Oryctolagus cuniculus: one gene and its partner. The protein of the gene in region 1 interacts with the protein of each later gene in a pairwise test. Links are inferred from orthologs where the notes say so. Each region holds a gene or a part of one and is shown on either strand. Other genes may lie near its edges.

Region 1 (4,434 bases):
CCTTCTGTAGCATAAAGACGCCATTCTAAAGGTACTTGCTGGCTGCCCTGCTCGTAGTTCGGCACTCAGTATTTTTTGAATGAATTTCTAGCGCTGTCCCTTGTATTTCTAGTCTGTTGGGTCACTTTAATTATAGGGCTGCATTCAGACTGATCAAATGTTTGTGGAGGTCACTTCCCCGGAGAATCAACTGACCTCACTGATGAACTGAAAGCAATGACTGACACTGATTTAGGGTTAAAATTATTAATTTTATTAGACAATGAACATTCCACTAATGGAACAGCCTTAAGTAAACTAGCAAAGCGCACACAGAGAAATCCCCCGCGCTGTTGTCCTTGTGCGTTTCACTGTGCCACTTTTGCACAGGAAAGGATCTTCATAATTGCCATTTCAATGGCTGCACCCAGAAAAACTCGGCTGATGTAATATAAGCCACTGTTAGGCCCTTGGCTCACTCCCCTCTTGCTGTTATCCAAACGTCGTGAAGAACGTCTTCTGTATTGTTCTGTATTTGTTAAAAATAAATTCCTAGTAGTGCAAGTGCAGGATCAAAGTGTAAGGTGCACTTTTTTTTTTCCTCCTGAGATAACGAAACAAGGTACTGAAAAGGCTTTGCATATACAGCTGTCCAAGGTTGATCTGGGTGACAGTCTTCAAGGCGTTGGTGTTATCTCCCAGTCCTCGCTCCGCAGCTGGAGAAACAGCGAGCAGGTAACCTGATCTCGCCCATCAGGTGAGTGCTGGGCCGTGGTGGCAACTGCAGTTCCTGGGGGTTTGCAGAGACGCTGCAAGTGGGAAAAGTTATCCTTCCTCGCCTGGGAGACGCTGACTTCGGGGGACTCACTCCTCACCCAGCACCCGCACTCTCTCCGAGCGCCCTGCACACAGTAGGCGTCTAATAAGTGCAGCTGGTCCTGCACCGGTACACGCTCTACCTGAAGTGGGCTGCACACGAAGCCCCTCTAGGTGCCACAGCGCCACTCTGGCCCCTTGCCCGCTCCCTGCAGCACCCCCGTCGGACCCTGGCCTGCGGGGCGCGCCCGCCTCCCCCTGCCCGCGCCCAGGCGGAGCCCAGGCCGCCCGCCCCGAGCCCCGGGCACAGGCGCGCGCCGGCCCGCCCCGCCCCGGCCCCGCCCCCGCCGCCGGCCCCGCCCCCGCCCCATCTCCTCCCCGCCCCCCGAAGCCGACGAGTGGCGGCGGCCTCGGGACCCGGCTCCCTCAGACAAGAGGGCGGGTGGAGGAGGAAGCGGCCGAGCCCTGAGTCCTGCTGCGGCGCGCCGAGCACCGCCCGCCTCAGCCGGCCGGCCGGTCCCGTCGGCTCCCGGGCCTCGCCGAGCGGGGCGGAGGGGAAGGCCGCGGCTACTGCCAGGCGGCGGCGGGGGCGCGGGCGGAGGCGGCGCGGCCGGCCGCGGCTGCCGCTTTGTTGTGCGGCCCGGGCCGAGGAAGGAGAAGTGGGAGGAGGGGGGAGCTCGGCGTCCCGCTCCCTCCGCGGCTCATGGCGACGACGCTCGGCACATCCGGGACCCTCCGGCCGCCACGGCCGCGGCGCCGGCTGCCCGGGCCCCAGCCCCGGCCGCTGTGGTGACTCGGTCGCCGCGCCTCGCCGTCGCCCCCGCCCCGCCTGCCGGCCCGGAGCCCCGCCGCCGCCGCCGCCGCCCCGGCCGTCCCCGCCGCCGGGGACATGTCTAACCCCGGAGGCCGGCGGAACGGGCCCGTCAAGCTGCGCCTGACAGGTGAGGGGGGGCGGCCGGGGCGGCCGCGAGGTGGGCGAGCCGGCGGGGGGGTGCCTGTGGCCTTGGGAAGGGCCAGGGTCGCGATCAATGGTGAGTCGGGGGCCGGGGGCGTGGGAGGGCCTAGTTCAGAGAAGGTAGTTGGAAAAAGCACTCGCTCGGGTTGGGAAGCCCGAGGGTGAGTCGGGGGGTCTTTTGTGGAAGGGAGGGGTACGCCGGCTCGAACCGCAGGCGGAGTTGGGAGGTCGGGGAGTGTCGGCCGGGGGGTCCGATTCTAATCCGGGGGCTTCGGGGAGCGGCCCCGGGAGGCTGCCCAGGTGGGGTCGTGGAGGGGATTATTGAATCCGGTTGCTGCTGCGCGCAGTAAACACTCCTTAAAGATGGAGCGCTTAACGGGAGGGTGTGAGTGTGAGTGTGTGTGTGTGTGTGTGTGTGTGTGCGCGTGTGCGCGCGCGTTCGTTCCTGGCTTCTTAACTTGTGTGCCCGCGTGCGAAGCCTCCGCGCTCGGCTGCCAGCCCCGGCGGCCGTGCCACACACCTTGACCGCGCGGCTCGGGGAGGGAAGGAGACTGAGGTTGGCTTTTCCGGTGTGTCTGGCTGATCCCACGACTCTGGCTCATTGTACGCTCTGTGTTTTGGAAGTGTTTGATTGTAGGGTAGCATGTTTTGAGTTGTTCCTTGTAGGCCGCAGGACTTGTGGCTCCCTGCTAACTCTAGACCTGCCTTAAACACTTTTTTTTTTTTAAAGGGGCGAGGGTACTTGGCTAAGTGTACTCATACAACTTTCAAGGGAACTTTCTCTCACTTTCCCCACCCTCCCCTTTCCCTTTTCTAAATGGAAAAGAATGTCCATAGGGGTTTGCTAGATAGAAGACTAGTCTTAAAAAGTGTTTGATTCCAGGTGCGTGAAATCTTTATTACAGGTGCGTTTTGTGTATAGAGCTATTTCTGGTTTTCTTATATCAACATATCTCCCCCATTTTAAGGAAAAAAAATTATATTTGCTTGGGAACGTGTAGTTGAAATCAGTGTGTCATCATTCTAGTTTCACCGTTAATGAATTGAACACGTTTATATTTGGATGTGTGGTGAGAAATTTGGTTTTCCTTAGATTGGTGTGTGTATGTATGTGTGTGTGTGCGTGCACGGGCACCTGCGCGTGCGCCCGCGCGCTTCAGAATAAACTGTAATTATGTTTGCCCACACTAGACTTTGAGATTTATACGGACTAATTTTGTAGCTGAATGCTGTGTGTCACCTTCCAGTCCACTGGCTGAACCTTCTAGATAATAACCTGCAGTGAATTTGGTATTGGAGAAGTTAGCCTGAGTTGCCTGCAATTTTAAAACTATATTACCTCCATGAAAGTTTTGCCTTCCTTGGGGAAAATTGCGAAGAGCCATTAACTGAGTGGTTCTTAATGGAAAAATCTGGTTTGAAGGATGCTTGTCTTCCTTTCCTCCATTGAGTTTCTTTATTGTGGGAAATCCTTTAAGGAATCATTGTTGCTTCAGAGGTATCTGTTGCTGTTCCTATCTGGAGTCAGTGAGCATCGAAGGAACCTGTGCTTCCAGATGTGCACAAAGCATCAGAAATGGGCTGTTGCCATTGACTTCCCTCTGGGCTGTATACACGTACATAGAAAATGGAGGGGGGGAGGGAAATCGGGATTTTGATTTTCTGCGGATTACGTGAGTTTTGAGATTTTTAATATGATTCAGTAGGTCATAAAGTGTTTATCTGTGGTTTCCTTATTGCATGATACATTCTAAAAATTGAGTAAAATTAGATTTGTTAGGAAAGATTACACTTAATTTGTTTTCAGGGCAGAGGGAATGTTGGACTACATTTATAGAATGATTTTGTATATTTAGATTGTTCTGAGGGATTTTAAATACCCTTTGTCCCCTTAATTGTAAAAACAGTTTGAGGTACTCTCAATTTCTGAAAACCATTGGGAATTTCTGAATAGTTTTCTCTTAAAATTTGACAGATATTAAAAATATTGCCCTCCCCTGTGGTTACATTTGGTGGAATCTCTTCTGTTTTGCCAGGAAAGTTAACATATATATATATTTTTCATTTTAGTTCATCATTTACAAATTAGACAGTATAGATTTTAACAAATAGATTTCAAGAGCTGGATTCAATTAGCAGCTTTTTAGGACATAAACATTAAAGGGTTAGATGGAAAAGATTGTTTTGACTGACTGGATAAATGACAGGGCTGTGTTTGATGTGCGTCCAGGAATTGGTCTGGAGCTGGTGCCCAACTTCTCAGTCCATCTTGAGAAGCCAAATAAAATATTTAACCTAGGCCTCGTTTTGTTTAAAAAAAAAAAAAAAAAGTTGATTCTTTGTTAGGACCTTAAGAAATGTTTGGCATACCTTTAGACTAAGTGTTTAGCAGTTCATTTAGATCCAGGTTCCCTAATAGAGGAAAAATCTCTTCTAAAAAAAAAAATCCCCACAGTGAATTTTTTACTTTTTTATAGTACACTTGGGCTATAAGATGTTTTATTTAAAGTTATTGTTCTTTGCTTTATTTAACTTAATAGAAGACTAGTATTGTAAATTTATAGTGTCTTTGATTCCAAGGTGCTTTGTGAACTGTAGTTACTCAATTATGTTCTTAATGAGGAGTTGCCCCTTTACTGAAAGGCTAACAATTTTTTTGTGGTGACACACATACGATGATGGAT
Region 2 (3,649 bases), on another chromosome or scaffold:
TAAATGTTTACTTTCTAATAAAACAGTTTCATTAAAACCATGGTGAAAATCTAATTTCATTCATTTTTTGTTGTTCTGGCTAATCCTTTCAGGTTTGTGACTGGTTGTATCCTCTAGTTCCTGATAGATCTCCAGTTCTGAAATGCACTGTGGGAGCTTACATGTTTCCTGATACAATGCTGCAAGCAGCAGGATGCTTTGTAGGGGTCGTCTTGTCCTCTGAGCTACCGGAAGATGATAGAGAGCTCTTTGAGGATCTGTTAAGACAGATGTCTGACCTTCGACTCCAGGTAACTTGAGTGATTATCTTTAGGATGAAAATCTGCTTTAACATCAGCACTTCTGCTTTTAAAGACGTTGTAATAACCTCTAATGTGATCAGAGTTAGGAGACAGAGTATATAATTTGTATGTTCACAACTATATGTTGGGAATTTGCTGTAAATACTGTTTAACTTTGTGGGTTCTGGAATCAAGTTGCCTGAGTTTGGATTCAAACTCTTCTACTTAATAGTTATTTATTAACTCAACTATTACTGATCATCTCCATACTTGAGTTTCCTAATCATAAAATGTGGATACTACTAATAACGTCCACCTCATTGTACTATGGTGAAGATTAAAAGTTAATCCATTAGGGGCTGGCATTGTGACATGGTTTAAGCCATGGCCTGCAGTGCTGGCTTGCCATATGGGCGCCAGTTTGAGTCTCGGCTACTCCACTTCTGATTCATCTCCCCGCTAATGTGCCTGGGAAAGCAGCAGAAGATGCCCCAGATTCTTGGGCCCTTGCACCTCTGTGGGAGACCTGGAAGAAGCTCCTGACTCCTGGTTGGCCCTGCCCTGGTTGGTCGTTGGGACCATTTGGGGAGTGAGCCAGTGGATGGAAGTTTCTCTCTTTTTCACTGTCTCTCCTTCTCTCTCTCTTTCAGTCTGACTTTCCAATAAACAAATATTTTATTTTAAAAAAGGTTAATCCATTAAACCATTTTTTTCAATGCTAACAGATTAAAATGATTATCTGTCATTTTCTGTTTACTTCTTGGTGGGGAAGGGGGACTGAATGGTGAAGTGAAGGTAATTTTAGCACATGGCTTATATTGGACATTTTGGGAATATGATTGGCATTTTGAGAAAGAAACATGTTTTGTTTGAGAAAATCATCTTTTTCTGGTACATGAAGACCAAATATATGGAAAATACAATGAGATTTAAAAATAAGATCATCCTGTGAACTTTAGCCTTTTCTCTGCCCACATGCTTATTTGTCACAGGAAGTTCTAATAGGTTGTTATGAAGAGGCTTTCTTTAGGTGTTCTGCCCATCCTACCATATGGTAAGAAGAGTGGAATGTTTTGATAATGATTAGTGACAGTTATCTGAGGTTGAGTGAAACTGACAGCATGATAGCATAAACTTGTATTCTCTCCAGTCAGTAGGTGTTTGGAATCTTTTTTAACCAAACATTAACTGCTAACATGGTGGGATGGGAAGAGTGAGAACATGAGAATAAAACAATTTATAGAATAGCTTCTGTTCCCAAGTATGTGAGCATGACCTGGTGATCAACAAGCCAGTACTCTAGGACAGCCAGCAATAATTTAATCTGTGTTAACAAAACACATGAATTGCCACACAGAAGTGTGTAGCCTCAGTGTGCTCATGGAGAGTTCAAAGGACATGGTAAAATGCATCTGGATTCATCTTAGTTTTGCTGTGTACTGAGTGAAGTGACACTCTAGTGTGGAGCTACTTCTCCTTTCATTCATTGACCTGGTTTTGTTGAGCTTTAGGAAAGAAATTAAATAGACTTTTACATTAATGTATATGTTTTGTCTGTTAATTTTATTTTAATTAACATGTATTTTTAGTTGGCTCTCTTGTCTCAGAAATTCAGCCAGAAATAAAAGCTAGTTATCGGCTATAGTTTTTACTTTAAAGCATCATTTAGCAGAATATGTACTTGCAAAGTACTTTAATGCAAAAAACAAAGAAAAGCAAAATAGGCTTTCAACAATGCAGAGTAGTTAAGACCTAAGTTTTGCTAATTACCCTTAAGCTTGTTTTAGTCATATATAATACATATGTGTTTCCTAAAATTTATTATCAATTATTTAATTAAATTCAAATGTAGTTGCATCTGATTTAAATATTACTTACATTAACAACTGTTTTATGTTATCTCTTATACTTTGACATTTATTTTAAACCATGTTGTCTGAACCAAAGAACTCAGAGGTTTGTCAATTGGTGATCAAGATGAAACAAGAGTTTAGGGATAGAAGTATAAGTGGTTGTTATTGACAATTGAACAAGTGTGTCACTAAAGCATAACGCAACACATCCGGAGAAAAGAAGTCTGAGAAAATTCTGGTTAATGCTTAGCTTAGTCCTTCACTCCTTAGGCCAACTGGAACAGAGCAGAAGGAGAAAATGAATTCCAGATCCCTGGAAGAACAAGACACCCTTCTGACCAACTGAAGGAAGCCTCTGATACTGATGTGAGACAGTTGGGTCCTACAGACCAAGGCAGTAAGGATGTGCGTCTTAAAGGAAAACGTGGAAAAAAGGTAAATAAAGGAGCAGTGATAGTGTGTTCTAGTACCTTTCATCAGTTTCATGTATTATACGATCTTTTCCTCATCTACTAGAGCAAAGAACTTAAGAAGTGAGATGAGTGACATAGGCCTGTATCATAGTGCTTATGAGTTCAGTTAACCCTCACTTTACTAATATTGGCTCCAGAGCAAAAGACTTGGTTGGAAATTTGGATATGCCAAAGAGGAGCCGTAGCGTTTCCTCCAAGAGAAAAAGTGAAAGTTCTGGACTTAATAAAGAAAGAAAAAAAATCTTATGCTGAGGTTGCTAATGTGTCAGATAAGAACAAATTTTTGGTTTGTGAAATTGTGGAGGAAAAAGAAATTTGTACCAGTTTTGCTATTGCAAAACATTCTTATAATTGTTCTATTTTTATCATTGGTAATCTTTTGCTGTGAATAATTGTTAAGTAAACTTGATCATAGGCTAGTATGTGTAGGATATATCTATATCTGTCTGTCTGTCTGTCTATTTGGGACACAGAAATCAGTACTACCTGGTTTCAGCATTCACTGGGGGCATTGGAATGTGGAGAAACGAAGACTACCACTTTCCCTGTAATTTGGCCAACAGAGTGGGTACTCAGTCTTTCTGTGTTTGGGCAGTCTGATAGATCAGAATGATGTATTAAAATATCTAAATTTGTGTTGATTTCAGTTTGAATAATGTTGAGCAACATGCTTAAAGTTTCTTTGAATTTTGTGTTCTGTATATGGTCTTTTCATAACCTTTGTCTATTTTTATGAGTGGGTTGTTAGCCTTTTTTTTCTTCTCAGTTTCCAGGAGCTCGTTATAACTTAGAGATATTGGCCCATTGTCAGAAGTTGCAAATATTTTACCCAGTTTGTCTCTAGATTTTACTTGTGTGTTATTTTTCCTTCCATGTAGAAGTTTTAGTTTGTTTAAGGTGTGTGTATTTAAGTGAAATTCTTTATATTTCTTTAAGCACTTTGATTTTTGAGTTAGTTTATAACTCTGTTAGGTCTGAGCTCCTAAGTACTTAAAATGAATTAATTTAACTTTGAGATTTTTGGTGCTAACCCTTGCTCTTA

Evidence for each region. The genes of interacting proteins can lie anywhere in the genome.
Region 2: the proteins of SMURF2 (region 1) and SPART interact in a two-hybrid assay, tested with the Homo sapiens proteins (2 studies listed by BioGRID and IntAct). The link is inferred for Oryctolagus cuniculus from reciprocal best matches to the Homo sapiens genes SMURF2 and SPART.

Annotation. Positions count from the first base shown.
Region 1 is NC_091448.1:14,048,203-14,052,636, forward strand, and holds the start of SMURF2 (E3 ubiquitin-protein ligase SMURF2), read left to right. Parts: upstream 1-1,547; 5' UTR 1,548-1,684; coding exon 1,685-1,826; intron 1,827-4,434. UniProt on the Homo sapiens protein: E3 ubiquitin-protein ligase which accepts ubiquitin from an E2 ubiquitin-conjugating enzyme in the form of a thioester and then directly transfers the ubiquitin to targeted substrates.
Region 2 is NC_091440.1:77,771,430-77,775,078, forward strand, and holds part of SPART (spartin), read left to right. Parts: intron 1-92; coding exon 93-290; intron 291-2,404; coding exon 2,405-2,569; intron 2,570-3,649. UniProt on the Homo sapiens protein: Lipophagy receptor that plays an important role in lipid droplet (LD) turnover in motor neurons.